4 linked regions of the Anolis sagrei genome follow. The protein of the gene in region 4 purifies or fractionates together with the protein of the main gene of each other region. This does not show direct contact. Links are inferred from orthologs where the notes say so. Each region holds a gene or a part of one and is shown on either strand. Other genes may lie near its edges. The genes, in order: PRPF19, SART3, CD2BP2 and PRPF3.

Evidence for each region.
Region 1: the proteins of PRPF3 (region 4) and PRPF19 fractionate together in Homo sapiens (co-fractionation; 3 studies listed by BioGRID, with this or other methods). This does not show direct contact. The link is inferred for Anolis sagrei from reciprocal best matches to the Homo sapiens genes PRPF3 and PRPF19.
Region 2: the proteins of PRPF3 (region 4) and SART3 purify together in Homo sapiens (affinity purification with mass spectrometry; 5 studies listed by BioGRID and IntAct, counting the BioPlex papers as one, with this or other methods). This does not show direct contact. The link is inferred for Anolis sagrei from reciprocal best matches to the Homo sapiens genes PRPF3 and SART3.
Region 3: the proteins of PRPF3 (region 4) and CD2BP2 purify together in Homo sapiens (affinity purification with mass spectrometry; 3 studies listed by BioGRID and IntAct, with this or other methods). This does not show direct contact. The link is inferred for Anolis sagrei from reciprocal best matches to the Homo sapiens genes PRPF3 and CD2BP2.

What each region holds. Positions count from the first base shown.
Region 1 is NC_090021.1:235,751,158-235,758,950, forward strand, and holds the start of PRPF19 (pre-mRNA-processing factor 19), read right to left. Parts: upstream 3,110-7,793; 5' UTR 2,962-3,109; coding exon 2,943-2,961; intron 1-2,942. UniProt on the Homo sapiens protein: Ubiquitin-protein ligase which is a core component of several complexes mainly involved pre-mRNA splicing and DNA repair. Required for pre-mRNA splicing as component of the spliceosome.
Region 2 is NC_090034.1:29,968,287-29,976,089, reverse strand, and holds the start of SART3 (squamous cell carcinoma antigen recognized by T-cells 3), read right to left. Parts: upstream 3,338-7,803; 5' UTR 3,292-3,337; coding exon 3,151-3,291; intron 1-3,150. Other genes in the region: iron-sulfur cluster assembly enzyme ISCU, read left to right, coding at 5,302-5,406. UniProt on the Homo sapiens protein: U6 snRNP-binding protein that functions as a recycling factor of the splicing machinery. Promotes the initial reassembly of U4 and U6 snRNPs following their ejection from the spliceosome during its maturation.
Region 3 is NC_090026.1:16,296,979-16,305,474, reverse strand, and holds the start of CD2BP2 (CD2 antigen cytoplasmic tail-binding protein 2), read right to left. Parts: upstream 3,307-8,496; 5' UTR 3,184-3,306; intron 1-3,183. UniProt on the Homo sapiens protein: Involved in pre-mRNA splicing as component of the U5 snRNP complex that is involved in spliceosome assembly.
Region 4 is NC_090032.1:6,001,989-6,010,584, reverse strand, and holds the start of PRPF3 (U4/U6 small nuclear ribonucleoprotein Prp3), read right to left. Parts: upstream 3,351-8,596; 5' UTR 3,228-3,350; intron 1-3,227. Other genes in the region: MRPS21 (small ribosomal subunit protein bS21m), read right to left, coding at 7,157-7,337. UniProt on the Homo sapiens protein: Plays a role in pre-mRNA splicing as component of the U4/U6-U5 tri-snRNP complex that is involved in spliceosome assembly, and as component of the precatalytic spliceosome (spliceosome B complex).

The sequences.
Region 1 (7,793 bases), on a different chromosome or scaffold from region 4:
GAGCTTAGTTTTGAGATAAAGGAGGTTCACACAATCTATTTCCACACAATGAATGCAGGGGGCCCATAGGCTATTCTTACACGTAACTATCACCAGGTAATATTGCCACACATCCCTGAATAGCTATTTGAGGTTCATTTGAAGGCAATGGTCCTTCCTCATATATTGGAGCTTTTTGATGAACAACAGATATTTAATAAGGGCATATGAAAACAACAATGTATGGAACTACACTACAAAGTCCCTTTCAAGTATTCATTCAACACTCTAAAACAGCAATGCACTGATCTGCCCATTTGGGGTAAGTCATCAATCTCTATCTGTAAGAAATCATGCCAGCACAGCTGTTCAGACAATGTTGCTTTATAACATATACACACACATAAGTCTAAAAACTTTACTTAAAAAGATGAATCCCCCCAAAACTGAGTTGACATACATATAAGTCAACATAAACACTGTACCTTAAATGCAATTTAAAAGGGGGGGAGCATCCTTTTCTCTCAGTAGTGGCAAAAGGTAAGAATGTAGTCTGTCCCGGGATAACCTAAAAGAAGTGCCAAACCCTTTCTACTCTCTCTTTGTCTGAAAGAATAAACCTTGCCCAAAGTCATCTAGTTAGGTTCCATCGCCCAGCAGGAATTTGAACCCTGGTCCTAGTCTAACACTCAAACCACTACTACACCATGCTAGTTATTAATTAGTTAATAGTTGAAAATACATAAAGAACTATATTTACACACACACATTTTAATATTTTAATGGGAATTATTGTAGTAACATGAATCTTGTTGTTTCTTTAATTTTATGTTTATACTTTTTATTTATGGGTTAGAACTGTTTTATTGGTATGATTTTATATTTATTGTTAACCACCTTATGTCCTTATATTGGTAGAAAGGTAGGAAAAAATAAAATAAACAGATGAAAAAAATCCTCTTCAAATGAACCTTTGACAAAGAAAGCTATCTTGTCCCATGGCATCTCTATGTCTGAAAATCAGAGAAAAATGTGGATTTTTAATGAAGTGAAAGGTAAGAAGGACAATGCTTGCAAGATGACAATCAGCAAGCTATTTAAGCATCAACCAGACAATTAAGACCAATACCAAGGATATTCTTGTTTATAACAATGGAAGGGAATCTTATGGGCTACCCAGTTCCTCACTAAATTCACTCATGTAGGAATTCTAGAGCTAAAGCATCCTCAAAAATAGCTCTCCAGTTCGGTGAGGACTGCCAGCAAAAAAGAGTCCCTCATCTTACTGATTTTGTTTCACTAATAAGATGATATCATTCAGCATAAGTATTTTTTTATCTACTGTGGTTGCAGGCTACAAGAACTAGAAAAAACATGCTAGGACTGTATGGCTCCTTGCTGCCTGGCACAACTAATAGTATCACCCCAGAAATCTAGGAAATCATTCTCATTATCAAACTGCTCTTATCAGTGAGAAGTTTCCCCAAGAGTCAAGTTTGAAAACTTCCCTCCTGCAACTTATGTGGACTAGATTGTCCTGTCCTGGAGGGACCAGAAAACAAGTATCCATCCTCTCTTTTGTAACAGCTCCATAGCTTCAACAGGACTAGTAAACTATTTAGGCTTAAAACCTAGATCATTATGGCTAAAGTTTTGTTATTGTGTGTCTTCAAGTCATTTTCTGTGACTGTGGGCCTTCCACGCAGCCAAATAAACTAGAATAACAAGGCGGAATACCCTACAATATTTGTTTTGAATTGAGTGATCTGAGTCCACACTGCTATATATCCCAGTTCAAAGCAGCTGTGTGGAAGAGGCCCGTATCACAAAGGTCAGTCGGCTGAAAGTGTGTGCTTGGCTCAGGATAACCCAGTGGGTTTTCATGGATTCGAACCCTGGTCTCCAGAGTCATAGTCCAAGTTTATGTGTGTGCATGTGTATATATACACAGAGAGATACGTATGTAGACACAGCAGGACCTCAGAAAAACCATGTGCAGGATTATAAAAGAACCCAATACTAGTCAGAGAAATCCCAAAGAAACTTTGACTGCATCTAGACCAGTGTTTCCCAAACTTTTGGTCCTCCAGGTTTTTTGGACTTCAACTCTCAGAAATCCCAGCCAGTTTACTGGCTTTTAGGAATTGTGGGAGCTAAAGTCCAAAACACCTGGAGGACTAAAGACTGGCAAACACTGGTCTAAACCGAAGAAGTAATGCAGTCTGACCCCACTTTACCTGCAATGGCTCAATGCTATGGAATCACGGGAGTTGTAGTTTTACAAGGCCTTTGCCCTTCTCTGCCAAAGTGATGCTGCCTCACCAAACTACAACTCCCAGGATTCCTTGGCACTGAACCATAGCAGTTAAAGCAGTCTCAAAATACATTAATTCTACAATGTAGATGAGAATAGGAGAAGCATTGCAAATAGAAGCCCAATATAGAAATCCCTAATTCAAATTTCATGTTTACCACAAATGCACGTGGAGACCTGAGAAAAGCTGCTCTTTTTAACAAAACCCCCTCGGAAATACAGGGCTTAAAACAGAGCAATGCCCATTAAGGGCTATGGAGTGGAAAGAGCAGAAAACCCGACGCAAGTATAAGCCTTTCATTGCCCCAAATCAACAATTCGAGTTGCCTTGATCCCTTTTCGACCAATGTACGGAGCCCTTCATCCATTCAGGCGGGAATTCCAGAGCAAACCTCCCATTTGCTGCAGCAAAGCAGCCGAAGTGCCTGGGAGCTCGGCCTCCATAGAAACGGACACAAAGAACGAGGCAAACCGCGTAACCTTTTCACAAGTCTCTATGGAAATGCACCCCAAGTGCGCCCGCTTTGCCTTCCCATCACTCTTCTTAAACCAGAATAGCCCTGCCTGGCACTCTTTTCTCGGCCGACTTTATGAAGGGGAGACAAGACACAGAGTGGGGCCGAAAGGGGAATGAAAGCGGTTCACTCACTGGAGCATATGAGGGACATGGCGAGCGCCTCCTCGACATGGGCCTTACGGCTGCTTCCGGGCCACTAGAGCGAAGGGGAAGGTTCTGCTTCCGGTCGCCTTTCAACTCGAGCTGCAGCGCGCGCGGGAGAAGGTTGCCCCGGCCGGAAATGGACCCCTCCGACTTTCCTCGTCACGTGCGCTGCCAAAGCCGCAAGGCCTAACGGTCCCACGCGAGTACTTCCGGTTTGGGCTGAGCGTTCCGTCAACTACAGCTCCCAGCATGCACCGCGGACACAGAGCGCCTCTTAGAGGGGAGCCGCACGACCGAATTGTAGCGCTTGACACGGGTTTGACTGAAATTGCTCAATCCCGTAGAATTCTGGGATTTGAAGTTTGTTGTGGCAAAGAAGCTCTCTGGCAGAGAAGAGTGGATTTCTCACAAAAAGACAAAGCCCAGATACCTATAGCTTTTAGCCAAGGCAGTTATTATCATTATCCTGCAGAGAGCCAAATAATACACCAGAGGGAGCAACCTCTTTGAAGTTAAGCAGGGACAGCCCTGGTTAGTGCTTGGATGGGAGACCGCCGAGGAATACCAGGCACCGTAGGTTATATCTCAGAGGAAAGAACTGGCCAAACCAAGAAGAAACCTGCGAAATCTATGAGGTGGTTTGAAGGCGCGTACATGCATGGATTTAAACATTAGGCCTATGTCTTCAGTTGCCTCTTGAATCTTCCTTCCCCCTTTTTACAGAGGCATTAAGGAAACAAAGGAAGAAGGGTAGAATTTTAGTTGAAATTGTGTTTGGATAATAAGGATCCCATCCAGATGTAGAAGGTAGAAAGAGCTTGTTTGCCCTAACTCGAGGTCTAAAATTACAGCTTCTCAGCATTCTAGACTACAAAACATGAAATTTCTACATGCAGCTGCACTCTATAATTCACAGTTGTGATCTGAGGAGTCCATACTTCAGGAAATAAAGCCCAACTGCTCATTGGAGGGAAGGATAGTAGAGGCAAAGATGAAGTACTTTGGCCACATCATGAGAAGAAAGGAAAGCATACAGAAGACGATGCTGGGGAAAATGGAAAGAAAAAGGAAGAGGGGCTGACCAAGGGCAAGATGGATGGATGGGATCCTTGAAGTGACTGGATTGACCTTGAAGGAGCTGAGGGTGGTGACGGCCGACAGGGAGCTCTGGCGTGGGCTGTTCCATGAGGTCACGAAGAGTCAGAAACGACAACGAATGAACAACAACAATCAGGAGAGGTCTGCATGGGGAATTGGCTGCTGTCAAGTTGAGTTCGACTTATGGTGGCCCTATGTATATGGCATTACTAGAGCTTAAAGAGTAGGCAAAGCATCTGAAATCTTGTGCTGCCTCCTGCAGAATTCCAGGCGTTATTTATTTATTTGTCCCATTTATACACCTTCTCAACCCCATAGGGGACTCAAGGAGGCTTACATACACAGGGAGTTGTAGTTCAGTGAGACCCAGGACCTCTCTGGCTGAGCATTTAAAGGCCCCCTCCCCTAAACTACAAGCCCAGCAACCAACTAATGTCACCCTTCTTAAATGAACTGGGGGTCCCAAGTACACTTACCATTTAATGCAGTGTCAAACTGGTATTGAAGAAAATGCTTGCAATAATCAGAAATGAAGTCCCCACCCCCAAGTGCACTGTAATTTGAATAAATCTGCAATGATAAACCAAAGGTCAAGTCTCAAAAATATGTCAGACAATTCAGGAAGCAAAATTGGATCATTGAATGGATTGAGATTAATATGGGAATTAGATTTAGGGTTTAAATAGAGGAGAAAATGGAACTCAGTTTGGAAAATCCAATCTTATATATCAATTTCAGCACAACTGAAAGAAAATACTCTGAAAATTATGCATAGATGGTACCATTATCCACTCAAACTACATAAAATCAATAGAATCTTTACTTGGAGAGTAATATGGGATCAGAGAATAATATTGGATCCCATACTGGAGAGTAATATGGGATCCCATACTGGAGAGTAATATGGGATTGGAGCCACATGTGGCTAATGTGCATAAAGTATGGAGATTCTGGGAGGAAGTGCTATCATGCATAAGCCAAGTAGTGGGGAAACTTCACTTCAGGGGAGCTCTATAAATGATTTCTGGGTATTGTTTCATTATGCACGCGGGGGCCAGCAGGGGGCACTAGAGAGAGAAGGATAGTCCATTTGGGGGGAGGAGTGGGGAAAGAGAGAGGGGGAATAACCAGCAAAATGGGGGAAGTGGTTTTCCTCCTTCAACTCCCCCCTCCCCATAAAATAGACTATCCTTCTCTCTCTACTGCCCCCTGGTGGCCTTTGTCTGGATAATGGAACAGTACCGATTTGGGTATTCAAAAGTGAGAATAAGGTTCTGTGGTAAATAATAAAAAAATACTACTCCTGTTATGTGTCACAAGACTCAAAATTGTGAAAACCTGGAAAAAAGTTAGAGGATCTGACAATAAAGAGCTGGTTAAACGGGATGTGGGTGATAACTCTATAAGAAAAGTTAATTTATAAATTAAGATATATAAATTAAGATTAGCAAAAAAGTGAATTGAAAGAAAATCTATTTGATAAAACCTGGAAACCATTTATTAGTTTCATGTGTAAAAGCAATGGCGAATTTAAACCACCAAACGTCCAAGAAGGATTGTGGATGAGTAATTTATGAATACATTACAATAAAAAAGCAAAAAGATTTTTAAAAGAAGAAAAAACAAACAAACTGGTTTTGCTGTGCAGACGATTACATAGGAAGTCCTGTAACCAATTTTGAGCCCGGATGGTGATGACACAAACCACAGAGCACTTATACATAGAGACAATCTCTTAAGATTATATGGATCAGAGTTTCCTCAAAATTCATCAAATGCACAACGTAGTGGAGGGAAAGGATTAGAGCAGATTTTTTTAAAAAAAAATAAATTAAATAAATCTGACTCTATAAGAAATGATTAAAGGTGGACTGCTGGGTGTAAGGTGACTGGGATTTAGTTTGTAATGTATTTTAATGTTTTTATATTTGATGACACAAAGGGTTTAATCGTGTTTTTATATACTTATATTTTAATTCATTTACATTTATTTAACTTGCATTGTACCCTATTTATCATTATATATCAGGAGAAAGGCAGGATAAAAAACAAAATAAGTAAATAAAACAAATGCACAGTGTTTACATTTTTATATTTGCTTTCCACTCCCTTCTTGCAATTTCTTTCTTGCAAATTTTTTCTTGCAAAGTGTTGGTTGCTGTGAATTTTCTGAGCTGTATGACCATGTTCCAGAAGCATGGTCTGACATTTCGCTCATATCTATGGCAGGCATCAGAGGTTGCGAGGTCTGTTGGAAACTAGGCAAGTGGGATTTATAGATCTATGGAATGTACAGGGTAGGAGAAAAAACTCTTGTCTGTTTGAGGCAAGTGTGAATGTTGCAACTGGCCAGTTTCATTAGCATTGAATAGCCTTCCAGCTTCAAAGCCTGGCTGCTTCCTGCCTGGAGGAATCCACTCAGGCATGGGCAAACTTCAACCCTCCAGGTGTTTTGGACTTCAACTCCCACAGCTGGTTCAACTCCCCCCCCCCCCCCCGGCTGTTAGGGATTGTAGGAATTGAAGTCCAAAACACCTGGAGGGCAGAAGTTTGCCCTTGCCTGTGTTAGCTGCCACAGATGTGGGCAAAACACTAAAAAAACCAGGGGATATTATTTATTTATTATTTGTGATATTTGTATACCGCCCTTCACAATCCCGAAGGGGATTCAGGGCGGTTGTGTGTTGGCAACAATTCAATGCCATCGATAAAAACAGTATAAAACATTAAAACTGGCCCTCCTCTAATAAAAAAATAAACATTATTAAACACAATACATAAAACAGCATTACCTATCACACAGAGACATAGCTGGAAATCCAGACAGGAAACAATTGGGGCCAGCTAACATCTCCCAACAAAGGATTCCCCCAGGCAGGAAATAGCTAGGCTTTGAAGCTGCAAGACTATTGCAACATTCACACTTGTCTCAAGCGGACAAGAGTTCTTTCTCCCACCCTGGACATTCCACAGATATATAAACTCCACTTGCCTAGTTTCCAACAGACCTCACAACCTCTGAGGATGCTTGCCATAGATGTGGGTGAAATGTCAGGTGAGAATGCTTCTGGAACATGGCCATACAGCCCGGAAAACCCACGGCAACTCAGTGATTATGGCCATGAAAGCCTTTGACAACACAAAAAAGCAAAACTTGGGGAATTGAGAGGAAGAACTGAGACTGCATCTAGTGCAATCAAACCCTACTTTGTCCTCCGGATCCCCTGTCCTGATACATTACATTGATCTCTCACCCAGAGTTTTAAAATTTTTTTATCTTTTGCAATTGGCCCTGCCCACTGTGATCAATTTTCTATGTTCGAATGTTCTGATTTTATATTGTCTGATGTGTTTATTTATATTGGTTCTTGTACTTCATTTTTTCTTTTTCTTTATTTTTTGCTGTGTTACTGTGTTATATTGTTTCACTGTATTGCTGGGCTTGGCCTCATGTAAGCCGCCCTGAGTCCCCTTGGGGAGATGGTGGCGTGGTATAAAGATTTATTGTAATTATTATTATTATTATTATTATTATTATTATTATTACACTAGCCATCCCCTGCCATGCATTGCTGAGGCCCAGTCTGTGTATATGTGGTTTTGTGTGTGCATTATATTTTTATTTTTTTGGCATTTTAAGTCTCTTCCACTGTGTTTCCAGTGTCTTTATGAGTGTTGGTCACTCGTTGGCCTGATAGGTGTATTTTGTCCAAATTTGGTGTCAATTCATCCAGTGTTTTT
Region 2 (7,803 bases), on a different chromosome or scaffold from region 4:
TCTTTCTAGGAGTTTTAGTTCACCTGCAACCAGAGAAACTGTCACCTCCACTGATGATGGACCTGGACCAAACTTGGCACACAGATCTTCCATGACTAACTCAACCTACTGGAGAGTTTTGAGGGAACTGACTCCCCATAATGGGAGTTGCAGTTTACCCTAAAGCCAAAGAGCACACTAAACCCCACCCGTGATGCATTTAGAGCAAACTTGCCCAACATAACAAACTTTAAGTACTGATTGAGCTTTTGGGGTTAACCTGGCATGATGAGAGTTGTAGTTTACCCACAACCTCATGAATTTTGTACAATTTTTCAAATAACCCGGGCAATGCCGGGGACCAAAGCCAGTTAAAGAAAAAACAATGACATTTAAAAACTGCAACAAAGAGAATGAGGCAATGGAAGTAGGATGAAATCCATGCCATGTGCTGTTGAAGGCTTTCATGGCTGGAATGACTGGATTGCTATGAGTTTTCCGGGCTGCCTGGCCATGTTTCAGAAGCATTCTCTCCTGACGTTTCGCCCACATCTATGGCAGGCATCCTCTTACGTTGTGAGGTCTGTTGAAAACTAGGCAAGTAGGGTTTATACAGGGTGCGACAGCATAACTTCCTTTTTTAAAATGCGTGCCATTCAGTCGGTTGAAGACGTAACGGAGCGCTAGTGGTCTCATTCAAGAGGCGGGAGTATAAAGTTTTGTCCTGACACAGTTCAGTCGCCATCCTGCGTTGGAACAGTGAGGAGCGTGCTTCTGCCGTTGAGGCCTACTTTTCGAGCGGATGTTCTGTGATCGCAACCCAGCGCGCCTTTCGGATTCGCTTTAATTTAGCCCCATTGGCCCCTGTCCCAGACGGAAATCAATTGTGACGTGGGTCACTACATTCAGACAAACTGCAAGTGCGACAAAACAAAGAACTGGAGTCCCTCGGCCCATTAGATCACCTGAGAACATTGAGGCAGTGAGAGCTTCAATGTTGCGATCACTACGGCGTTCTGCGCACAAACATGCGTCTGCCCTTGGACTTCCCGATCGTTCTGTGAGGAGAATTCTTCATGATGATCTTCATTTCCATCCTTACAAGATGGCGATTGTGCAGGAACTTTCTGAACATGACTTCAATTCTTGGAGGAACGCGTGTGAGGTTCTTCTCGAAGTCATTCCTGAGGACACTATTGGGGTTTTTTTAGTGATGAAGCCCATTTTCATTTGTGTGGATCCATCAACAAACAAAACATGCGCTACTGGGCTGACAACAATCCTCGAGAATTGCATCAAAAGCCTTTGCATTCACCTAAAATCACAGTGTGGTGTGCAATTTCCTCAGCTGGAATTATTGGTCCCTGGTTCTTTGAGGAAAATGAAATTGCAGTGACAGTTAATTCGGACTGGTATGTAAACATGTTACAGGAATTTTTTTCCTAAGGCTAGATGGGTTGGATTTAGGGGACATTTGGTTCCAACAAGACGGTGCAACTGAACACAATTCAAAAGCATCTATGGCTGTTTTGAGGGAACACTTCCCAGAGCGCCTCATCTCAATTAGGGGGGATTTGGAGGGGCTGGCCCGCTCTCCAGATTTGGCCCCTTGTGATTTTTTTTCTATGGAGTTTTTTGAAATCCCGTGTTTATGTGAACCCTCCAAGGACCCTACAAGATTTGAAGACCAACATCCAGGAAGAAATTGCCAACATAACGCCTGCTATGCTGGCAAGAGTCATGACAAATGCTAGAAATCAGTTTACTCAGTGTATGGAGAATGGGGGACATCACCTACCTAATTTGATCTTCAAAACTACGTAAAACAAAACTTTAGGTATGCACCTACATTATAAAAAAATTCTGATTCATACAATGGGTTTTATTAAGTTTTGAAAAAAGGAAGTTATGGTGCTTCACCCTGTATATCTGTGAAATAATGTCCAAGGTGGGAGAAAGAACTCTTGACTGTTTGAGGCAAGTGTGAATGTTGCCACTTGCCAGCTTGATTAGCATTGAATAGCAGTTTCAAATCCTGGCAGCTTCCTGCCTGGTTGGGAGGTGTTTGCTGACCCTGATTGCTTCCTTTCTGGATTTCCCCTGTTTATTAGAGTTGTTCTTTATTTACTGTCCTGATTTCAGAGTGTTTTAATACTTGTATCCTGATTTTGTTCATATTCATGGTTTCTTTCTTTCTGTTGAAATTGTTCACGTGCTTCTTGTGGATTTCAATGGCTTCTCTATGTAGTCTAACACAGAGATAGTGGAGGTATTGTGGGGTAAAAATGCAGTAAATAAAATAATATATATATACACACACAATGTATATAATTACATTATGTATTTATATACATTATGTATATATATATATATTATTTATAGATATTTATATACATATTATTATACTTACATTGGTGATAGTATGATAGCTGGGTCCAGAAGCTCCGAGCGTTACGCACATTCCGCAATGGCGGTTGTGAATAAGGGAAGGGGAGATCGGCACACTGAGGGTGGGACTATACTTCGTAGTTACATTTGGTGGAAGGATAGAATGGAGGGGAAGGTTAGGATAAGGTAAGGGTTAGGAATAGGGTTTGGGGTCAGGTAAGGATTAGGATTAGGGTTAAGGTAAGGTTTAGGGTTTGGGTTAGGGTAAGGTTTAGGGTTCGAGTAAATAAATAAATAAATAAATACCATTAAAGAACTCTTACATGCCTTCTATAATATTTGTGTTCCGTTTTGCGTTGCGCAAACAGCGCTCCCGAAGGAGCAAAGCGGAAACAGTGTAACACTCTGAGCTTCCAGACCCAGCCTTCATACTATTCCCCTTACATTTATATTATATAGATAACATGTATAATTATATTATTTTTATATTATTTTATATATTATATTAATATTGTAAAATATAAGGCTATTAAGGTTATCCATTAAATGTATATATTATTTATATATGATTATTAGTTATATTTTAATATCATTATTCATACTATTATATCTCTGATCTCTAGATTGAGGCATATTTTTTTAAAAAACCATGACATTGAAAACCTGCATCAAACAGAAGGAGGCATTGGAAGTTGGATGCAATGCAAGCCATGCTTCCTCAGGGGGCGTGGTCTCCCATCGCGAAGCCCCGCCCCGCGCGAAGCCCCGCTCCGGGGCCCTCACCTGCTCTTCCAAGCGCTGAATTTCAGCCTGGTTCTCCTTTTCCTCGTCGGCCTCCGAGGAGTCTTCGGACTCCAGTTCCTCGTCCCCTTCCGAGCCTCCTGCGGCCCACAACGACGCCTCAGCTTCGCCGCCGTCCGCCATCTTTCTCCGCCGTTAAGCCCTTTCAGCTGTCTAATCCACTGCCTGACGGGAAATGACGCGACTGTTTTGGCCGCCTGCATCTTTCCAGCAAGCGGTCCGTTAGACGCCTCTGCTTGGGGGCTTGAAGGAAGGTCAAACTATGTCCTTTCCGGAAGCACGGCTTAGGATGCCGGGGCGGCCATCAAGAGTGTGTCAGTTTCCTTGTCCTTCAATGGCAGCCTATGCTTGCTGGCCCTTGAAAGAAGCATAGTAACAATAAAAATATGCCAATATTAATCAAATAAGAAGAAGAATTCTTCCAACTCTCAACAAGGATGGGATCGATTTTAATCTTTCCATGTTGCGGATTTTAAATTGTACTTTAATGTGATTTTATTATTAATATCATTCCAATAATAATAATAATAATATGACGTGTGATCCAATATATCAGCCAGCAGAGTGATCTTGTCTGCTGTGGACTCATCTTGTTATGTTTCAAAGATCGATGCTTTTGAGCTGTGGTGTTGGAGGAAAGTGCTGAGAGTGCCTTGGACTGCGAGAAGATCCAACCAGTCCATCCTCCAGGAAATAAAGCCCAACTGCTCACTGGAGGGAAAGATACTAGAGACAAAGTTGAAGTACTTTGGTCACATCATGAGGAGACAGGAAAGCCTAGAGAAGACAATTATGCTGGGGAAAGTGGAAGGCAAAAGGAAGAGGGGCCGACCAAGGGCAAGATGGATGGATGGCATCCTTGAAGTGACTGGACTGACCTTAAGGGAGCTGGGGGTGGTAACGGCCGACAGGGAGCTCTGGCGTAGGCTGGTCCATGAGGTCACGAAGAGTCGGAGACGACTGAACGAATGAACATTAGTATTATCATTATTGGAATATTAATATTTATTATCACATTAAAGATTCTTAATTGTAATTTAATGTGATATTATTATTAATAATGCAATAATAATAATAGTACAATAATATTGGAATAATACTGTTATTATTATTGGAATATTATTATTAATATATTATTCAAATTAATATTACTAATAATATTAATAATGATAATTCCATTAATAATAATTCCAAGTCCCAGCAAACACACGATGAATGTTAATCTTTGTATGTTGTGAACTTTAAACTTTATTTTCATGTGATATGCTTGCTGGGGCTTGGAATCATTATTAGAATCATAATAATATTGGAAAAATTTTATATTTATTTATTTATTTATTTATTTGATGCATTTATTAACCGCCATTCTCAGCCCTTTAGGGCGACTCATGGCGGTGTACAACACATATAAAAAGGCAATTTACAAAGAGGCAATTACAACAACATATTAACAATACAACAATTACAAAAATTACACTAAAAATCCGCTTCGTCTCATAGTGGAATCATAACCAATCTCATATTCCTTGTTCCTTTCCAGTCGTCTTTACCACATTTTTATAGCACTTAATTAAATGCCTTCTCGAACAGCCATGTCTTAAGGCTTTTTCGGAAGGACATAAGGGAGGGCGCCTGTCTGATGTCTGCAGGGAGAGTCATTCTTTAGAGTCATTCATTATAGTCATTCTTAGAATGATAATATCACATTAAAATACAATTTAAAATCCGCAACATACAAAGATTATTATTATTCAAATAACATTATTAATAATCTATTATTATCCCAATAAAATTAATATATTGGAATAATATTATTAATAATATAACATTAAAGTACAGTTCAAAATCCACAACATACAAAGATTAACCTCGACCCTGTACTTGGTGGGACTTGGAATTATTGTTATTGGAATAATAATATTGGAAGTTTGAGAAAAGAACCTCTGGAAGGTAAAGGCTTAACTCCTGACCGCGTTTCCCCCCCCCCCCCCCCCTTTTGCTGGGCTTAGCGAAGGGAGTGACGACACAAGGAGGCGTGACCTATGGCGCCCTTGCGGCTCTTCCCCTGGCGGCCACGCCCCCGGGGGCCACGCCCCCGTTGCCCTCCACTGTCCTCTGTTCAAAACATTCAAGATGGCGGCGCTTCGGGCAAGCAGCGTGCGCAGCGCGGCGGCAGCCCTTCTGCGGCCTCGCCCGGGCCCGGCCTCCACCTCCCTGGTCGCGGGCTACCACGAGAAGGTGAGCCCGAGGCTTCCTCCGCTTCTAGGCCCAAAAGAAAGCTCGGCCTCGCTGGCCTTTGGAAGCCCCTTCTTGGCATTTGGGACTTCGAGTCCCAGAAGCCTCGGCTGCCTTGGCCTGTGGCCGAGCATTCTGGGAGCAGCAGTCCCAAGCACTTTGGAGGCCGGGGAAACTAGTTAGGGTCAGGAAAGATATTGGACACATCTTGTAGGATATTTGTGCGCATGCGCCGCTCAGAGCCTTCTTTGGGAGAGAAGAAAAGGGATAGTAATAATGCTAGTGATGATAATCATAATAATTATGATAACAATCATAATAATATAATAATAATGGTAATACTACTGGTTATGATAATGGTAATAAATACTAATCATAAGAATGATAATATTGATGATAAAAATTATAGTAATAATACTGATGATGATATTGCTAATAATACTGATGATAATGGTAATAATAATGATAATTGTACTACTACTGATGATAATAATGGTAATCCTGATGATGATAATGTAATACTGATTATGAAGATGATAAGTATAATGGTAATAATACTGGTGGTAATAATGTTAATGGTACTAATACTGACGATAATAGTAATGGTAATAATAGTGTTTGTTGTTGTTGTTATTTGTTCAATCACTTCCGACTCTTTGTGAACTCAAGCTCCCTGTCGGCCGTGGCCACCCCCAGCTCCTTCAAAGTTAAGCCAGTCACTTCAAGGATAACATCCATCCATCTTGCCCTTCGTTGGCCCCTTCCATTTTTCCCAGCATGATTGTCTTCTCCACGTTTTCCTGTCCTTTCATGATGTGGCCAAAGGACTTCATCTTTGCCTCTAATATCCTTCCCTCCAGTGAGCAGTCGGGCTTTATTTCCTGGACTACGGACTGGTTTGATCTTCTCACGGTCCAAGCCACTCTCAGAATTTTCCTCCAACACCACAGTTCAAAAGCATCTATCTTCCTTCACTCAGCCTTCCTTATGGTCAACCTCTCACATCCATATAATGCAATTGCTTTAACTATGCGGATCTTTGTGGCTAGTGTGATGTCTCTACTCTTCACTATTTATTGAGATTGATCATTGCTCTCCTCCCAAGAAGTAAATGTCTTCTGATTTCCTGGCTGCAGCCTGCATCTGCAGTAATCTTCGTGCCTAGAAATACAAAGTCTGTCACTGTCTCCACATTTTCTCCCTCTATTTGCCAGTTATCAATCAGTCTGGTGGCCATAATCTTGGTTTTTTTATGTTTAACTGCAACCCAGTTTTTGCACTGATGATGATGGTAATAATAATGATAATGGTACTAATGCTGACAGCAATAATAATGGTAATAATACTGATAATGATAATGAAAATGTTACTAATACTGACTATGATGATGATGATGATGATAATATTGATGATGGTAATAATGATAATGGTTCTAATGCTGATGATTATGTTAATGATAATAGTTCCTAATTGCATCTAGATTGAGCCCATAGACTGCGATGAGGACAGTTCCTCTTCCACTTGCTGAAATATATTACTAATATCCCTAATAAATAATAGCCAGGCCTCTTTTTCGGGGCTGCCCATGTGGAAGGGAAGCCCTAACTGGTAGGGCAGCACCAGGTTGGTTTGGCTTGAAAGTAATAGGCCCAAGTGGATCCTTGGAATGACTGTGGTGGGCCTTCATGTGGCACAACCATGAACCTGGGACCCCAGGTCTCAGCGGTGGCCGGGGGAGCATTCGCACAATTATAACCTGTGCGCCAGCTGTGCCCATATCTTGGGAGGTCTGACTTGGCCACGGTAGTTCACGTTCTGGTTATTTATTATTTACATTATTTCTATCCCGCCCATTTCAGCCTGAAGGCGATTCAGGGCGGTATACACAGTCGGCACAATTCGATGCCGAAACAAAATACATACATTGATAAAGCAAAAACATCAAGTGGAATTAAACATAAACGACAGTGCATAATAAACAATTTAAAAAGAGACTATGTCCTGTCATTCAAATCTTCATCGATTACATTGTCTTGGCCGTTCCTGGGTCAATTTCCAACTCTAGTTTGTCTGTTTACTCCGGGGTTCCGAATGCTTGCTCGGAGAGCCAAGTTTTTACTCTTTTTCGGAAAGTCAGGAGGAAGGGGGCTGATCTAATATCCCTAGGGAGGGAGTTCCACAGCCGGGGGGCCACCACAGAGAATGCCCTGTCTCTCGTCCCCGCCAGACGTGCTTGCGAAGCAGGCGGGATCGAGAGCAGGGCCTCCCCAGACTATCTTAAGTTCCTGGGGGGTTCGTAGGGAGAGATGCATTCAGATAGATAGACTGGGCCAGAACCATTTAGGGCTTTATAGGCTAAAGCCAGCACTTTGAATTGAGCCCGGTAGCAGACTGGCAGTG
Region 3 (8,496 bases), on a different chromosome or scaffold from region 4:
GTTTTTCAGCCCTTAAAAATAAATTAAATAGAGCTGCAATAATTTAAACAGTTTTTCCCTCTGGCAGACTTGTGCAATCTTCCCACCTTTATCCAAATTTAATATAAGCTGGTTGTATTTGTTAGAAAATGAATAAAAAATAAAACTATACAGTCGTTATAGAAATGTATTGTCAAAGGCTTTTATGTCCTGAATCATTGAGTTGCTGTAAGTTTTTTGGGTTGTATGGCCATGTTACAGAATCATTCTCTCCTGACACTTTGCCTGCATCTATGGCAGGCATCCTCGGAGGTTGTGAGGACTCTCTGAGGATGCCTGCTTCTGGAGCAAGGCCATACAGCCCAAGAAAATTACAGCAACCCATTATAGAAATGTATGGTACTTTATACTTGGAATGGCATAGTAGGGTAAGGTATAGCAAATACTTTTATTGAATACAGTTATAGTCAGTGCATGTTTATGCCTTACAGAATATTTTAAAGGTAAAAAGTGTATTTTAAAAGGGATGTTCCAATGATGCAAAGGGCAGAAACAACACCCCTAAAATTATAGGTTTAGGTTAGAAAACAGGTGAAGTACAAAATTGTGCATGGTATAGGGAAAGTGAACAATCAAAAGTTTTTTCTTTTCTCTTTGATACTACTGAAAACAATGATTATCAGCAGAGTTAAATGGCAGGAGACACAGTTCTTTCTTCTCTACCTATTCTTGGACTGTAACTCCCAGCAGTCCTCCTGATCGATCTATCTACCTACCTACTCATCTCTATGTAATCTATCTATCTGGAGGAGTTGCCGTCCAGGAATAGGAAATTGGAAAAACGCAGGGATTGGGATGCTCTCAAAGAAATCCGAGGAGAAGAAAGCTTGCAGGTTGGAAGCAGTGCATTTGGATCATCCTCCTCTTCTAAAGGGCCGGGTCTAGGTGATACTGGGAACTGTAGTCCAAAAGAGAGTCTGGATATGCTATTGTGTGTTTTGTTTGCCAGGTGGAATTGTTTTTGCCCATGTGCTGTAGCGTCGTTCTGCTTTTTTGACTTTTTAAGTCCCTTCCGTTGTATTTTTCAGTGTTTGCATGAGTGATGGTCACCCGTTGGCCTGATAGGTGTATTGTGTCCAAATTTGGTGTCAGTTCATCCAGTTGTTTTTTTAGTTATGTTAATCCCACAAACAAACATTACATTTTTATTTATATAGACTAACTGAATCCGCCACGCGTTGCTGTGGCCAACCTTCCCTCCTTTTTCCCTCCTTCCTTCCCTTCTTTTTCTTTCCCTTCTTCTTTCTTCCTTCTCTACCTGTTTATTTCCTCCCTTACTTTGCTCTTTGGCTCCATCCTTCCTTCTCTCTTTCTTTCCTTATTTCCTTCCTTTCCTCCCTCTTTCTCTCCTTGCCCTCTCTCTCTTCCCTCCCTTCTTTCACTTTTTTATTACCTTCTCTCCTTCCTTTCTCCTCTACCCTTCCTTCTCTCCTTCCCTCTTTCTCTCCTTCCTTCTTTCCCCCTTTCTGTGTATATGTGTTTTGTGTGTGTAAATAGGCATATATGTGTGTGTATATAGTTGTGTACATGTGTATATATGTGTTTCCATATATATGTGGTTTCGTGCATCCGTTGTAATGTAATTTTTAGTGGCTTTTTAAGTCTTTTCTGCTATTTTTCAGTGTTTTTATGAGTGATGGCCACTTGCTGGCCTGATAGGTGTATTGTGTCCAAATTTGGTGTCAATTCATCCAGTGGTTTTTGAGTTATGTTAATCCCACAAACGAACATTACATTTTTATTTATATAGATTGTTGTTCTCTGTCTAGATCTATGAGAAGAGGCTGGTATGAAGAATAAGAAATAATAATAATAATAATATAAACAACAATAGTGTGGTAGAAACCTTTTTTGGCAGTTTTTAAACAGAGGCTGGATTCTCATCTGTCGGGGATGCTTAGATTGTGATAGATAGATACATTTTATTGATTGGCCTATTGGCCGTATCAAAACATTTAACACATAACACATTTAACACATAACACATTTAACACATAGTCATACAACATACAACCCTCGGTATAAGAGAGGTTAAAATAAAAGAGGTTAAAATAAACAAACTGTTGGCAGATCCCGTTCAGGTCAAATATCTGTGTCACCTCCACAGTTTACCCCAATTGATTCTAAATGTGCAATTCTCAGCTGTGTTGCTTTGAATAGAAAAAGGGCTGTTTTGTGTGTTATTTTAGGATTCTGGCCGGCCAACAAAAATGAAGTTTTAATATGTGGGTCCCAGTGTGTTTTGTGAATAATGTATGGTTCAAGGCAATGGTCTCTCTCTTTCTTATACAGCTCACAGTTGAGCAGAACATGTGTGATATCCTCCACCTCTGATGCTCCGCAAATACAAACTCGTTCGTTGTATGGGCCCTGATTAAACCTTCCGTGCTTGACCATTGAATCCAGCTGCTCAAAACGAGCTCTGGTAAATACCCTCCTAAGGTGTTTTGGCATATCTGTTTTTAGATATCGAGCTGTTTGGAAAGTGTGTTTAAAGCGGCTTAACCATTTCAATGAGCCAGCTTTACTGAGGGTAGCAATGTCTTTTTGGCCTTCTATATCCAATACTCGTTGAGCAACTATTTTTGGGTCTAGCTCTTTTAAGAGGTTCGGATACCGAGTCGGGAGTCCACAGCTCCTAATATATTTTGTCAGGAGAACTAGCCAAGAGGACTGATGTTGATTTTCTTTCTGCTCCAACAGGATTGTGCTTTTCCTGCATGGCAGGGGGCTGGACTAGATGGCTCTTATAGTCCCTTCCAAGTCTATGCTTCTAATACAGGCATGGGCAGAGTTGGGTCTTTGAGGGGTTTTGGACTCAACTCCCACCATTCCTAACAGCTTCAGGCCCCTTTATTTTCCCCCTCAGCCGCTTAAGCGGCTGAGGGGGAAAATAAAGGGGCCTGAAGCTGTTAGGAATGGTGGGAGTTGGAGTCCAAAACCCCTCAAAGGCCCAACTCTGCCCATGCATGTCCTAATAATATTATATACTATGCAGACATAGATCTGACTAGAGAAAGCCCTGCCACTCTTTAATGGGGGGTGGTGTGGAAGCCCCCAAGGCCTAGTCCTCCCTCCTGGCCTCTGCTAATGACAATATGCAAATCCCCTCTCCCCCCTAAAACTTATGGAGCCAACTCTCACCTCTGCGCCTCTGCAGCACGCAGGCAACTCTCACTGGGAAGGAATCAACATCCGGGTCCTGCCACCATTCGAAGCCGATGCCACAACAGGACGGCTAGAGGACTGCCCCTCTTTGGCGCATGGGAAGTGACGTCAGCTCCTGGCAACCTGTGGCTTCGCTAGAACTGAGCAGCGCTGCTGAGGCCAGTGCGGGCAAGCCTTAAAGGCACAGGACTCGTTTGTTTCAATGGAATCCTATGAGTTGGAAGAGACACCCAAAAGGGCCATCCAGTGCAACCCCATTCTATGAAGAATACATACTTAACAAAACACTCCTGACAGATGGCCATCCAATCCAACCTCCAGACTTCACCATGTTCCCCCATTCTGTGCAGGAATGCATACTTATCCAAGCACTCCTGACAGATGGCCATCCAATTCAAGTCTCCAGAGAAGGAGACTTCACCACAGTCCCCCGTTCTGTGCAGGAATATAAACTTATCAAAGCACTCCTGACAGATGGCCCTCCAATTCAAATCTCCAGAGGAGGAGACTTCACCACATTCCCCCATTCTGTGGAGGAGTACATACTTATCAAAACACTCCTGACAGATGGTCATCCAATTCAAGTCTCCAGAGAAGGAGACTTCACCACAGTCCCCCATTCTCTGCAGGAATACATACTTATCAAAGCACCCCTGACAGATGGCCATCCAATCCAACCTTCAGAGGAGGAGACTTCACCACATCCCCCCATTCTGTGCAGGAATACATACTTATCAAAGCACTCCTGACAGATGGCCCTCCAATTCAAATCTCCAGAGGTGGAGACTTCACCACATTCCCCCATTCTGTGCAGGAATACATACTTATCAAAGCGCTCCTGACAGATGGCCATCCAATCCAACCTTCAGAGGAGGAGACTTCACCACACTCCCCCATTCTGTGCAGGAATACATACTTATCAAAGCACTCCTGACAGATGGCCATCCAACCCAATCTCCAGAATAGGAGATTTCACCACACTCCTCCATTCTGTGCAGGAATACATACTTATCAAAGCACTCCTGACAGATGGCCATCCAACCCAATCTCCAGAATAGGAGATTTCACCACACTCCCCCATTCTGTGCAGGAATACATACTTATCAAAGCACTCCTGACAGATGGCCATCCAACCCAATCTCCAGAATAGGAGATTTCACCACACTCCCCCATTCTGTGCAGGAATACATACTTATCAAAGCGCTCCTGACAGATGGCCATCCAATCCAACCTCCAGAGGAGGGGACTTCACTACACTCCCCCATTCTGTGCAGGAATGCATACTTATCAAAGCACTCCTGACAGATGGCCATCCAATCCAACCTCCAGAGGAGGAGACTTCACCACACTCCCGGGCAACGTAGAAACATAGACCTCATGGGCCATCCAGTCCAACTCCCTGCCAGGAAGTAGGAAAATTGCATTCAAAGCACCCCAGACAGATGGTCATCCAACCTCTGTTTAAAACCTCCAAAGAAGGAGCCTCCACCACATGTTGGAACAACTCTTACTCTTAGCGAGTCCTTCCTTATCTCTTTTCCTGCCATTTGAATTCATTACTCCATGTTTGAGGCCTCTTCCACACAGCTCAAAAAATCCCACATCTGCTTTGAACTGGAATATGTGGCAGTGTGGACTCAGATAACCCAGTTCAAAGCAGACAATGGGATTTTCTGCCTTGATATTCTGAGTTATATGGCTGTGTGGAAGGGCCCTGAGGCTCTTTCTATACTACCCTTTAACCCAGGATCTGATCTCAGATTATCTGATTTAAACTGGATTATATGAGTCTCCACTGCCAGATAATCTGGGATAAGCAGGTAATCTGGGATCATATCCTGGGTTTATAGGCGCAGTGTGGAAGGGGCCTTGAGGCTCTTCCAGACAGGCCCTATATCCCAGGATCTGATCCCAAGTTTTCTGTTTATCCCAGATTATCTGGCAGTGTGGATTTATATAATCCAATTTAAAGCAGAAAACCTGGGATCAGATCCTGGGATAGAAGGCCTGCCTGGAAGGGCACTAAGTCTCCAGAGCAGCAGAAAACATGCAGACTCATCTTCAATGTGACATTGAAGTTGTGTCCAACTCGGGGGGTTGGTGCTCATCTCCATTTCTAAGCCAAAGAGCCGGTGCTGTCCGTAGATACCTCCAAGGTCATGTGGCCAGCATGACTGCATGGAGTGCCGTTACCATACCGTCGGAGCAGTACCTATTGATCTACTCACATTTGCATGTTTTCGAACTGCTAGGTTGGCAGAACCTGAGGCTCACAGGGGAAACTCACGCTGCTCCCTGGATTTGAACATGCGACCTTTCAGTCAACAAGCTCAGCAGCTCAGCGCTTTAACCCACTGCGCCACCAAGGGCTCCCGTATTTAGACATAGTTACACACAATAAAAATAACGTATAATAATAACTTTATTATTATACGTTAATAATACGTATAATTATTAACGTATAATAATGTAAGCCGCCCTGAGGGGGACTCAGGGCGGCTTACATGAGGATGAGCCCGATCAAAATAGTTAAAATAAAACACATTAAAATACATCAACAACAACATAAACAAAATAAAACAACCTTACAATAATAATATAAAAGAGGATAACAACCAGCAATCAATAAATCTGCAATAATAAACAGTTTCTGGACACAACATAGGAGCCCCCAGTGGCACAGCAGGTTAAACTGCTGAACTTGCTGACCAAAAGGTTAGCAGTTTGAATCCAGAGAGCAGGATGAGCTCCCGCTGTTAGGCCCAGCTTCTGCCAACCTAGCAGTTCGAAAACATGCAAATGTGAGTAGATCAACAGGTACCACTTCAGAGGGAAGGTAAGGGCACTCCATGCAGTCATGTCATTGAAGATGAGTGATAGTAGCAATAGAATGTAAATCAAAATTCATGACTGAAAGTTGACTAGGGAGGCATATACCATAAACACATAGCCCGGAGGTAACTTTATGCACAGAATTTTGAATTATTGTTTGATGCAATAAAGCCTTTGCACACTGAACTATCTGAAAACAAAGGTGCGGCATCCCAGCCCCCAGGTGGACAATTTGGGTCTTTGGAGCATTTCAGTTTCCCAGACACTAAACCTAAACTGCATTATTTCAAATTTAAACATTAAGGAGAAATTATATCTTTATGCTTAAAACTTTGTTGAGCCAAGGTTATTTTATGGCATGTGTTCTGTTTAAAGAGTTTACTGCCACAAGCTGCTTTGGAGGCAGCATTAAAAGCAGTGGCACATCCAGGAAATATATCTAGACCTTAGAAGCAGCAGTGTTTAATTATAAAGATTAAATGGAAACTCCATAGACAAGCACAACGTATTTTGTGTTATTTTCTTTCTTTTAAATTTCATAAAAATCTACCCACAGAAGCCTCAGAAAAGCAATGGAACTGGACATCTCTCTCTCCTAAAACGATACAACGCACCATCAAATCGTTCCTGCCCATGCAAATCACCAAGCTGTTATTAATTGACAACAGTCTAAAGAATATATGATACCAAAGATGGGTTCTGACAAATTGTAATCCTTTATAGCAGTGTTTCTCAACCTTTCTAATGCCACGGACCCTTAATACAGTTCCTCATGTTGTGGTGACCCCAACCATAACATTATTTCAGTTGCTACTTCACAACTGTACTTTTGTGAGTACTATGAATTGTAATGTAAATATCTGATATGCAGGATATATTTTCATTCACTGGACCAGATTTGGCAAAAATACCCGATATGCCCAAATTTGAATATTGGTGGGCTTGCGGGGGGGGGGGGGGGGACTGGTTTTGTCATTTGGGAGTGTAGTTGCTGGGAGTTATAGTTCGCCTCCAATCAAAGAGCATTCTGAACTCCACCAACAATGGAATGGAACCAAACTTGGCACACAGAACTCCCATGACCAACAGAAAATACTGGAAGGGTTTTGTGGCCACTGTCCTTGAGTTTTGGAGTTGTAGTTCACCTCCATACAGAGAGCGTTGTGGACTCAAACAATGATAGATCTGGACCAAACTTGACACAAATATTCAATATGCCCAAATGTGAACACTGCTGGAGGTTGGGGAAAATAGACCTTGACATTTGGGAGTTGTAGTTGCTGGGATTTATAGTTCACCTACAATCAAAGAGAATTATGAACTCCACCAACAATGGAATTGAATCAAACTCGGCACACAGAACCCCCATGACCAACAACAAATACTGTGTTTTCTGATGGTCTTTGGCGACCCCTCTGACCCCCCCTTGTGAACCCCAGATTGAAAAATGCTGCTTTATAGAGTCCAGTATCAACTCAAATTAAGCTTCTTTTGCTCTACATTTCCCACAACAATTTGTTCTTAACAACAGTTTCATTCACTTCTTGAAATAGGGTTCTTTAGGACCAAAGAAAACTTTGCTTGAAAAAATATTCCAGTACACATTTAGGGGTTTGTTTTTTTTTACTTCCTCTTCTCTAGAGCTGCTTGTTCTTCCTGCTTTTGGAGAGCAACATGAGAGAAACAGTCAAGACGCTGTCATCAAACTGTGTGATTGCTTTACCCTCCAGCCTTCCTGGAACACGGGATCAAGTGACTTCTAACACTACCTGGATGGCAGGTAAATGCAGGTAAATGCAAGCCCCTCCTCTTCACCTGGGAAACTATTCTTGTGGAGCAATGAAGGAAGTGGAGTGACCTGAAGGAAAGTCTTAAGGGGAAGAGCTGACTTTCAAAGGTAAGGGGCATTCAATGTCTCAAAAATCCTCAAAAACTGGCTCAGAATTTGCCAGGGACCCTGCTCTCATCAACTTACGTCAACTAAAAAAGGAATTTATTTCTTACATCTCTGTCTCTCAACTTTATATTTTGAGATCAAATTTTCCATGTTTTCATTCTCGAACTCTTCCACCCATTATCCACACATTCTTCTCATTCATCTCTCCTGGTTTCAAACACTAATCTTCCTAAACATCACCCTTCTTTTAATTCTACAACTTATTTAAAAGTTTATTTTCAAGACCCTTGTCTGTTTATGCCTGCATGTCACTATTAGTTTGCTCATTCCACAACTTTATTTCCATTTATTTGTTCTTCTATTTTGTTCAAGTATTTTTGCTTGGTTTTTAAAATTCCACTTTCAAATGGATGAGCTGTATCTAACATTGTTCCTCTTCTCCTGCTTTCTCCCACCCTCATAAATTTTAATTTTGCTCTCGCTTCACACATTTCTGCTATTGTCATCTTTTACCTCTGCCCTATTTTTCTTCCATCCCATCGCCATGCTGTATTCTTTCA
Region 4 (8,596 bases):
CAATCTATACTTTGTTTTTTTCCACTATTGTGAGGTCAGGAGTATTGTGCTCCAAAACCTTGTCCATCTGAATCAAGAAGTCACAGAGTAGCTTCTTCTTCTTCTCCTTCTTCTCCTTCTTCTTCTTCTTCTTCTTCTTCTTCTTCTTATTATTATTATTATTATTATTATTATTATTATATATTATTATTTTCTGATTTGATATTCTGGGTTATATGGCTGTGTGGAAGGGCCCTAAAACTTACACAGAACCATTGATAAGTAAAAAAGAGAGGCTGCATTCTTTACACCAACCATATCGGCCTGTGACCACTCATGTTGCCACCAAAAACTAAATGCAAATGCTCACAGTATAATAGTAGTAATAATAATAATTGTGACGTCAAGGAGTATTTTGCTCCAGAACTCTGTCAGTCTGAATTCGGAAGTCCCAGATGAGTTTGACGTGTTTGTTTAGTGTAACTTGTGATCCCACCAGTTCTTTGTCGCAGGCAGATGGTCTTTGTGGCACAAGTTCCAATTAATCATCTGAGCAATGGTGTTATGCCTCTGCTTGTAGTCTGTCTGCGCAATTTTCTTGCAGCAGCTCAGGATGAAATCTATTGTTTCATCGGCTTCCTTGCAGAGTCTACACTTGGGATCTGTTGTCGACTTTTCAATTCTGGCTTTGATGGCCTTGGTTTTAATGGCTTGTTCTTGGACTGCCAGAATCAGGCCCTCCTTTGTCTCCTTTTTCAGAGTCCCATTTCTGAGCCACAGCCATGTTTTTTCTTTGTCAATTTGGCTCTCAATTTTTCCCAGGTATTGTCCATGGAGAGCCTTCTTTGGTCAGTTTTCTCTTCTGCTCTGGATTGTGTTTTTACGGTATTCCCTCTTTGTCTTTTGCACTTGAAGCGGTTTACTACTCTTGACTTCCCTCAATGTTGGTTCTTGACTGCCTTTCCCATCATCTGCCAGGGCATGCTTCTCTTCTTCTACTGTTTGTTTCACTTGCAGAAGCCCACTCTCTGCCTCCTGATTTTCTGAGCAGGTCAAGTTTGTTGACATCACTATGCGGGTGTCATGAGGAGTGGATTGTCATCAGTTTCCTGGTTTTTCTGTCCAGATCATCCAGCTCTGCTTGTGTCCAGTTCACAATCCCAGCAGTGTATCTAATGACAGGGATGGCCCAGGGGTGAGAGCCTTGATCGTATTTCCGCCATTTAACTTGCTCTTCAAAATCTTTCTGACTCTTTGGATATATTCTTTGGTGGCCAACTTTTTCACATGCTCATGCCTGATATTGTCTAACTATAGTATCCCCAGATATTTATAGGCTTCGGGCTGATTGCACTTTATGGTTTGTCCGTTTGGCATCTCAATTATTATATTATTATTTGAAACACAAGAAGCCACTCTGCTGGCTGTTGTATTGGATCACACGTTGGACACTTCCCAAGTGTCTAGGACGGTGTGATGTATTATTATTATTATTATTATTATTATTACTACTACTACTAGACGGTGTGATGTATTATTATTATTATTATTATTATTATTATTATTACTAGAAACACAACAAGATGAGTCCACAACAGACACTCTGCTGGCTGTTGTATTGGATCACACGTCGGACACTTCCCAAGTGTCTACGACTGTGTGATGTATTATTATAATTTACTCATTTAGAGAATAAGGAGAAATTGCACATCTTCCTACAGAGTTCAGATTAAAACTCTATTTTAAAATTGACCCTGTTTACGCAAAAAGCACTGGCCATCCACGAGAAGATGGAAGCAGATAGAGGTGACCTTGCTGCCATCAACAAAATTCAAGCTTAAAAACTTAATATGGACATGCCACTAGTTTTACCTACCCGCGCCCCTGCCCAAACCCTACTTTAAGGAATTAATCAATTTTTAATCTTTTATTTTTTTTATCTTGTAGTTGCACAATCATTTAGGAGTGGGTTGACAGGCTAGTAGGCCGGGATGCCTTGTATTCATATATGGTTTTACTGTATGTATGGGCAAGTGTGTATGTTTTGTATGTTTTGATATGGTCAAAATTGACTAATCAATAAAGAATTATTGTTGTTATTATTATTATTATTATTATTAGAAACACAAGAAGATGAGTCCACAGCAGACACTCTGCTGGCTGTTGAATTGGATCACACGTCAGACACTTCCCAAGTGTCTAGGACTGTGTGATATATTATTATTATTATTATTATTAGAAACACAAGAAGATGAGTCCACAGCAGACACTCTGCTGGCTGTTGTATTGGATCACATGTCGGACACTTCCCAAGTGTCTACCACTGTGTGATGTATTATTAATATTATTATTATTATTATTATTATGTATTTATTGTTATTATTATTATTAGAAACACAAGAAGATGACTCCACAGCAGACACTCTGTTGGCTGCTGAATTGGATCACACGTCGGACACTTCCCAAGTGTCTAGGGCTGTGTGATGTATTATTATTATTATCATTTGAAACACAACATGAGTCCACAGCAGACACTCTGCTGGCTGTTGAACTGGATCACACATGTCGGACACTTCCCAAGTGTCTAGGACTATTTATTATTATTATTATTATTATTATTATTATATTTATTATTAGAAACACAACAAGATGAGTCCACAGCAGACACTCTGCTGGATGTTGAATTGGATCACACATGTCGGACACTTCCCAAGTATCTAGGACTATTTATTATTATTATTATTATATTTATTATTAGAAACACAACAAGATGAGTCCACAGTGGCTGTTGAATTGGATCAGACGTCGTACCCTTCCCAAGTGTCTAGGACTGTGTGATGTATTATTATTATTATTATTATTATTATTATTATTAGAAACACAACAAGATGAGTCCACAGCAGACACTCTGCTAGCTCTTGAATTGGATCACACGTCAAACACTTCCCAAGTGTCTAGGACTGTGTGATGTTATTATTATTGTGGGAGAAATGTCAGGAGAGAATGCTTCTGGAACGTGGCCCGGAAAACGCACAGCAACCCACTAATGGCACCTGGTTGTCTCCCACAAGAGAAGATTCTCCTCTAAAGGCGTTCTGAACCTGCCACTGCCAGGCAGGCCTCTCCATCCCCCCCTTAGGTGAGGGCCCGGCTCTGAGGGGCTCCTCAGGCCTTGCCCCTTTTCCCTCAGGAAGGAGCCGGGCCTTCCTCCCCCTGAGGCGCCTCCGCGGCCTCCCCGCCTGGCTCACCCGTCCTCGGAGTCTCCTTCCGCCTCCTTCCCGCCTCCTTCTCCTCTCCAGACCCGCTCCCTCGACGGCGCTGCGAGGTCGTCGCCCAGCGGAAGCGGAAGCTGCTTGCTGGAGGCGTACGTTTTCCCTACTCTCGCTCGGAGGCGGGACTTCCGCGGCCAGGAAAGCCCCGCCTCTTCCGCCGCAGCGGGGTCGCCATGGCGACGCGGCTCTGATTGGCTGGAGGCGCTCTCCTTTTCTTCCAATAGTTAAGCCTAGTCTGTATGTCAGGCCAAACTTGGGCCTTCCTCCCTCAAATCCTAATAGACTGTAAAGAATGGTGGGAGTTGAAGTCCAAAACACATGGAGAACACCTTCCCCTCCCTTCTTCCTTTCTTTCCTTTCTCTTCCCTTCGTTTTCTCTTTCTTCCCTCCTTCTTTCTTTCTTTCTTTCTTTCTTTCTTTCTTTCCTCTTCCCATCTTTCTTTTCTTTTTCTTTCTTTCTTCCCTCCCTCTCTTCCCTTCTTTTTCTTTCTTCCCTCCCTCTCCTTTCCTTCTCTTCCCTTCTTTTTCTTTCTTCCCTCCCTCTCCTTTCCTTCTCTTCCCTTCTTTTTCTTTCTTTCTTCCCTCCCTCTCCTTTCCTTCTCTTCCCTTCTTTTTCTTTCTTCCCTCCCTCTCCTTTCCTTCTCTTCCCTTCTTTTTCTTTCTTTCTTCCCTCCCTCTCCTTTCCTTCTCTTCCCTTCTTTTTCTTTCTTCCCTCCCTCTCCTTTCCTTCTCTTCCCTTATTTTTCTTTCTTCCCTCCCTCTCCTTTCCTTCTCTTCCCTTCTTTTTCTTTCTTCCCTCCCTCTCCTTTCCTTCTCTTCCCTTCTTTTTCTTTCTTTCTTCCCTCCCTCTCCTTTCCTTCTCTTCCCTTCTTTTTCTTTCTTCCCTCCCTCTCCTTTCCTTCTCTTCCCTTCTTTTTCTTTCTTCCCTCCCTCTCCTTTCCTTCTCTTCCCTTCTTTTTCTTTCTTTCTTCCCTCCCTCTCCTTTCCTTCTCTTCCCTTCTTTTTCTTTCTTTCTTCCCTTCTTTTTCTTTCTTTCTTCCTTCCTTCTCTTCTTTTTTCTTCCCTCCCTCTCCTTTCTTCCCTTCTTTTTCTTTCTTCCCTCCCTTTTTTCATTTTCTCTTCCCTTCTATTTCTTTCTTCCCTCCATCTCCTTCCTTCCCTTCTTTTTCTTCCTTCCCTCCCTCCTTTTTCATTTTCTCTTCCCTTCTTTTTCTTTCTTCCCTCCCTCTCCTTTCCTTCTCTTCCCTTCTTTTTCTTTCTTCCCTCCCTCTTCCTTTCTTTTTATTTCTTTCTTCCCTCTACTTACTTTCTCTTTGCTTCTCCCTCTTGTTTTGTTTTTGCTTCCCTTTTTTCTTTCTTCCCTCCCTTTCTCGTTTTTCTTTTTCCCCTCCTTCTTTCCCCTTCCCACCTTTCCTTCTTCTCTCTCTTCCTTTTTCTCTTCCCATCTTTTTATTCTTCCTTCTCTTTCTTTCCTTTCTCTTCCTTTTTCTTTCTTCCCTCCCTCTCCTTTCTTTCTCTTTGCTTCCATTTTCTTTCTTCCCCCTTATTTCCTCTTCTCATCTTTTTCTTTCTTCCCTCCCTTTCTCTCATTTTTTTCTCCTCCCTTTCTTTCCTCTTCCCATCTTTCTTCCCCTTTTCTTTCTTCTCTCTCTTCCTTTTTTCTGTTTCTCTTCCCATCTTTTTAATTCTTCCTTCTCTCTTCTTTCCTTTTTTCTCTTCCCTCCCTTTTCTTCATTTTCTCTTCCCTTTTTTTCTTTTCTTCCCTCCCTCTCCTTTCTTTCTCTTTTGCTTATTTTTATTTCTTCCCCCTTACTTTGTTTTTTCCCATCTTTTTCTCTTTCTGCCCCCCTCTCCTATCTTATCTTTCACTTCTTCTTTATTCCCTCCCTCTTCTACTCATTGTTCCCTCCCTCTTTTCTTCTTCTTCTCATCTTTCTTCCTTCCCTTTTTCTTTTTCTTCCCCCCTCTTTTCCTTTTTCTCTTTCCCTTCCCATCTTTTTAATTCTTCCTTCCCTCCTTTCATTTTCTCTTCCCTTCTTTTTCTTTCTTCCCTCTCTCTTCATTCTTTATCTTCCCCTCTTTTTTTCTTGCTTCCCTCCCTCTTGTTCCTTTTGTTCTTTCCTTCCCGCCATTTTCTCTTCCCTTTTCTTTCTTCCTCCTCCTCTTTTCTTTCTTTTTCCTTCTTTTTCTTTCCTCTTTCCTTTCTTCCCTCCCCTTTTTCTTTTCTCTTCTTTCTTTCTTCACTCCCCTTTCTCTTCCCTTTTCTTTCTTCTCCTTTTCTTTTCCCTTTCCTCCCTCTTCCTTTATTTTCTTCCCCCTCTTTCTTTTCATTTTTCTTCCTTCCCTTGTCTTTCTTTTCTCTTCTTTTTCTTTCTTCCCTCCCTCTTTCTCTTCCTTTCTCTTTCTTTCTCTTACCATTATATTGTAATATTATTAGTAATATTACATGGAGCATACATATATAATTATGATATATTATTTTTATTAGTATTATATTGCATTACAATATTATAAATATTCTATGTATATAATTTTAACAAATTGCTAAATATTACTATATTGTACTATACCATTGTAATATTATTTGTAATATTACATTGAATATAAATATATAATATAATAATTATTAGTAGTATTATATTGTATTACATTATAATATTATAAATATTATATGTATATAATTTTAACAAATTGCTAAATATTACTATACCATTATAATGTAATATTATTAATAATACTAAATGTAATATAAATATATAATTATAATATCATTATTTTATTAGTATTATATTGCATTACATTATAATATTATAAATATTATATGTATATAATTTTGCTAAATATTACTATATTGTATTATACCATTGTAATATTAGTAATATTACATGGAATATTAATATATAATTATGATATATTAATTTTATTAGTATTATATTGCATTACATTATAATATTAAAAATATTCTATGTATATAATTTTAACGAATTGCTAAATATTACTATATTGTATTATACCATTATATTGTAATATTATTAGTAATATTACATGGAATATAAATATATAAATATCCTATTATTAATAGTATTATATTGCATTATATTATATTATTATAAATATTCTATGTATATAATTTTAACAAATTGCTAAATATTACTATATTGTACTATACCTTTATTTTGTAATATTATTAGTAATATTACATGGAATATAAATATATAATTATGATATATTATTTTTATTAGTAAAATAATAATATATAATTATATTAAAATTATTATTAGTAAAATAATAATATATAATTATATTAGTAGTAGTAGTATTATATTGCATTACATTATAATATTATAAATATTTTATGTATATAATTTTAACGAATTGCTAAAAATTACTTTATTGTACTATACCATTACATTGTAATATTATTAGTAATATTACATGGAGTATAAATATATAATTATAATATTATATTATTATTAATAGTAATGTATTGCATTACATTATAATATTATAAATATTATATGTATATAATTTTAACGAATTGCTAAATGTTACTATATTGCACTATACCATTATATTGTAATATTATTACTAATATTACATGGAATATAAATATACAATTATAATATCATATATCAGTAGTAGTATCATATTGCATTATATTATAATATTATAAATATTGTATGTAAATAATTTTAACGAATTGCTCCCCTTAAAAATCAAACACCATGAGGACATCCCACTAGAAATCCCACAATCACCAAGTGATTTTTCACAAGGGCTTTATTGGCGTCATCATTTTTCAGACTGTAAAAAGAAACCAAGATACTCTGATGATTAAGGGGGTTCAAAACAATCCCACCAAAAGGAATGCGCTGTTAGGTCTCCAATACGGAAAACCCTTGAGTTCAGCAACCCATCCAAGGGTCTGCGCGATTCTTGCGTGCGATGAAGCTGATCTTCCGAGCCATTTCCGTGTTATATATATTCCGGCACGCTTCGTAGGTCTCCCGCTGCCTCCTGCGGCACGGCTTCTCGTAATACCGCCGCCGCTTGGCTTCGTCGATGATCCCATCCATGGTGAGGACCCTGGAGAAGAGGAGAAAGGAGACCCCTTGTCAAAGAGCACAGATCGAGTCGGATGCTTACTTGCCTTCCCTCCAGACGCAATAAGAAACAACAACACCCCCTAAATGTATATACTATTCTGTATTTTTTCTGCATGAGTCAACAGTGTGATGCAGCAGCTGAAAAGGCCAATGTGATTCTAGGATGCATCAATAGACGTCTAGTGTCTAGATCAGTGGTTCGTCAAGGGACCACCTTGACGAGGGACCACCTTGGCGAGGGACCACCTGACCAGGGACCACTTTGATCAGGGACCACTTTGATCAGGGACCACCTTGACCAGGGGCCACCTTGACCAGGAGCCATTTTGACCAGGGTCCACCTTGAGCAGGGTCCACCTTGAGCAGGATCCACCTTGAACAGGGTCCACCTTGACCAGGGACCACCTTGACCAGGGATCACTTTGACCAGGAGCCACTTTGACCAGGGACCTCCTTGACCAGGGACCCCTTTGACCAGGGGCCACCTTGACCAGGGACCACCTTGACCAGTATCCACCTTGACCAGGGACCACTTTGACAAGGGTCCACCTTGAGCAGGGTCCACCTTAACCAGGGGCCACCTTGAGCAGGGTCCACCTTGATCAGGGACCACTTTGACCAGAGACCACTTTGACCAGGGACCACTTGAGCAAGGACCACCTTGACCAAGGTCCACCTTGAGCAGGGACCACCTTGACCAGGGACCACTTTGACAAGGGTCCACCTTGAGCAGGGTCCACCTTGATCAGGGACCACTTGAGCAAGGACCACCTTGACCAAGGTGCAGGATGTATTTTCATTCACTGGACCAAATTTGGCACAAATACTCAATATGCCCAAATGTGAATACTGGTGGAGTTTGGGGGAAATAGACCTTGACATTTGGGAATTGCAGTTGCTGGGACTTATAGTTCACCTACAATCAAAGAGCATTCTGAACTCCACCAGTGATGGAATTGAACCAAACTTGGTACTCAGAACTCCCATGACTATCAGACAATATTGGAAGAGTTTGGTGGGCATTGACCTTGAGTTTTGGAGTTGTAGTTCACTTACATTCAGAGATCATTGTGGACTCAAACAATGATGGAGTTTGGGGGAAATAGACCCTGACATTTGGGAATTATATTTGCTGGGATTCAATTCAAGTTTGGTTCAGTTCTACCTTTGGTGGAGTCCAGAATGCTCTTTGATTGTAGGTGAACTATATATCCCAGCAAGTACAACTACCAAATGACA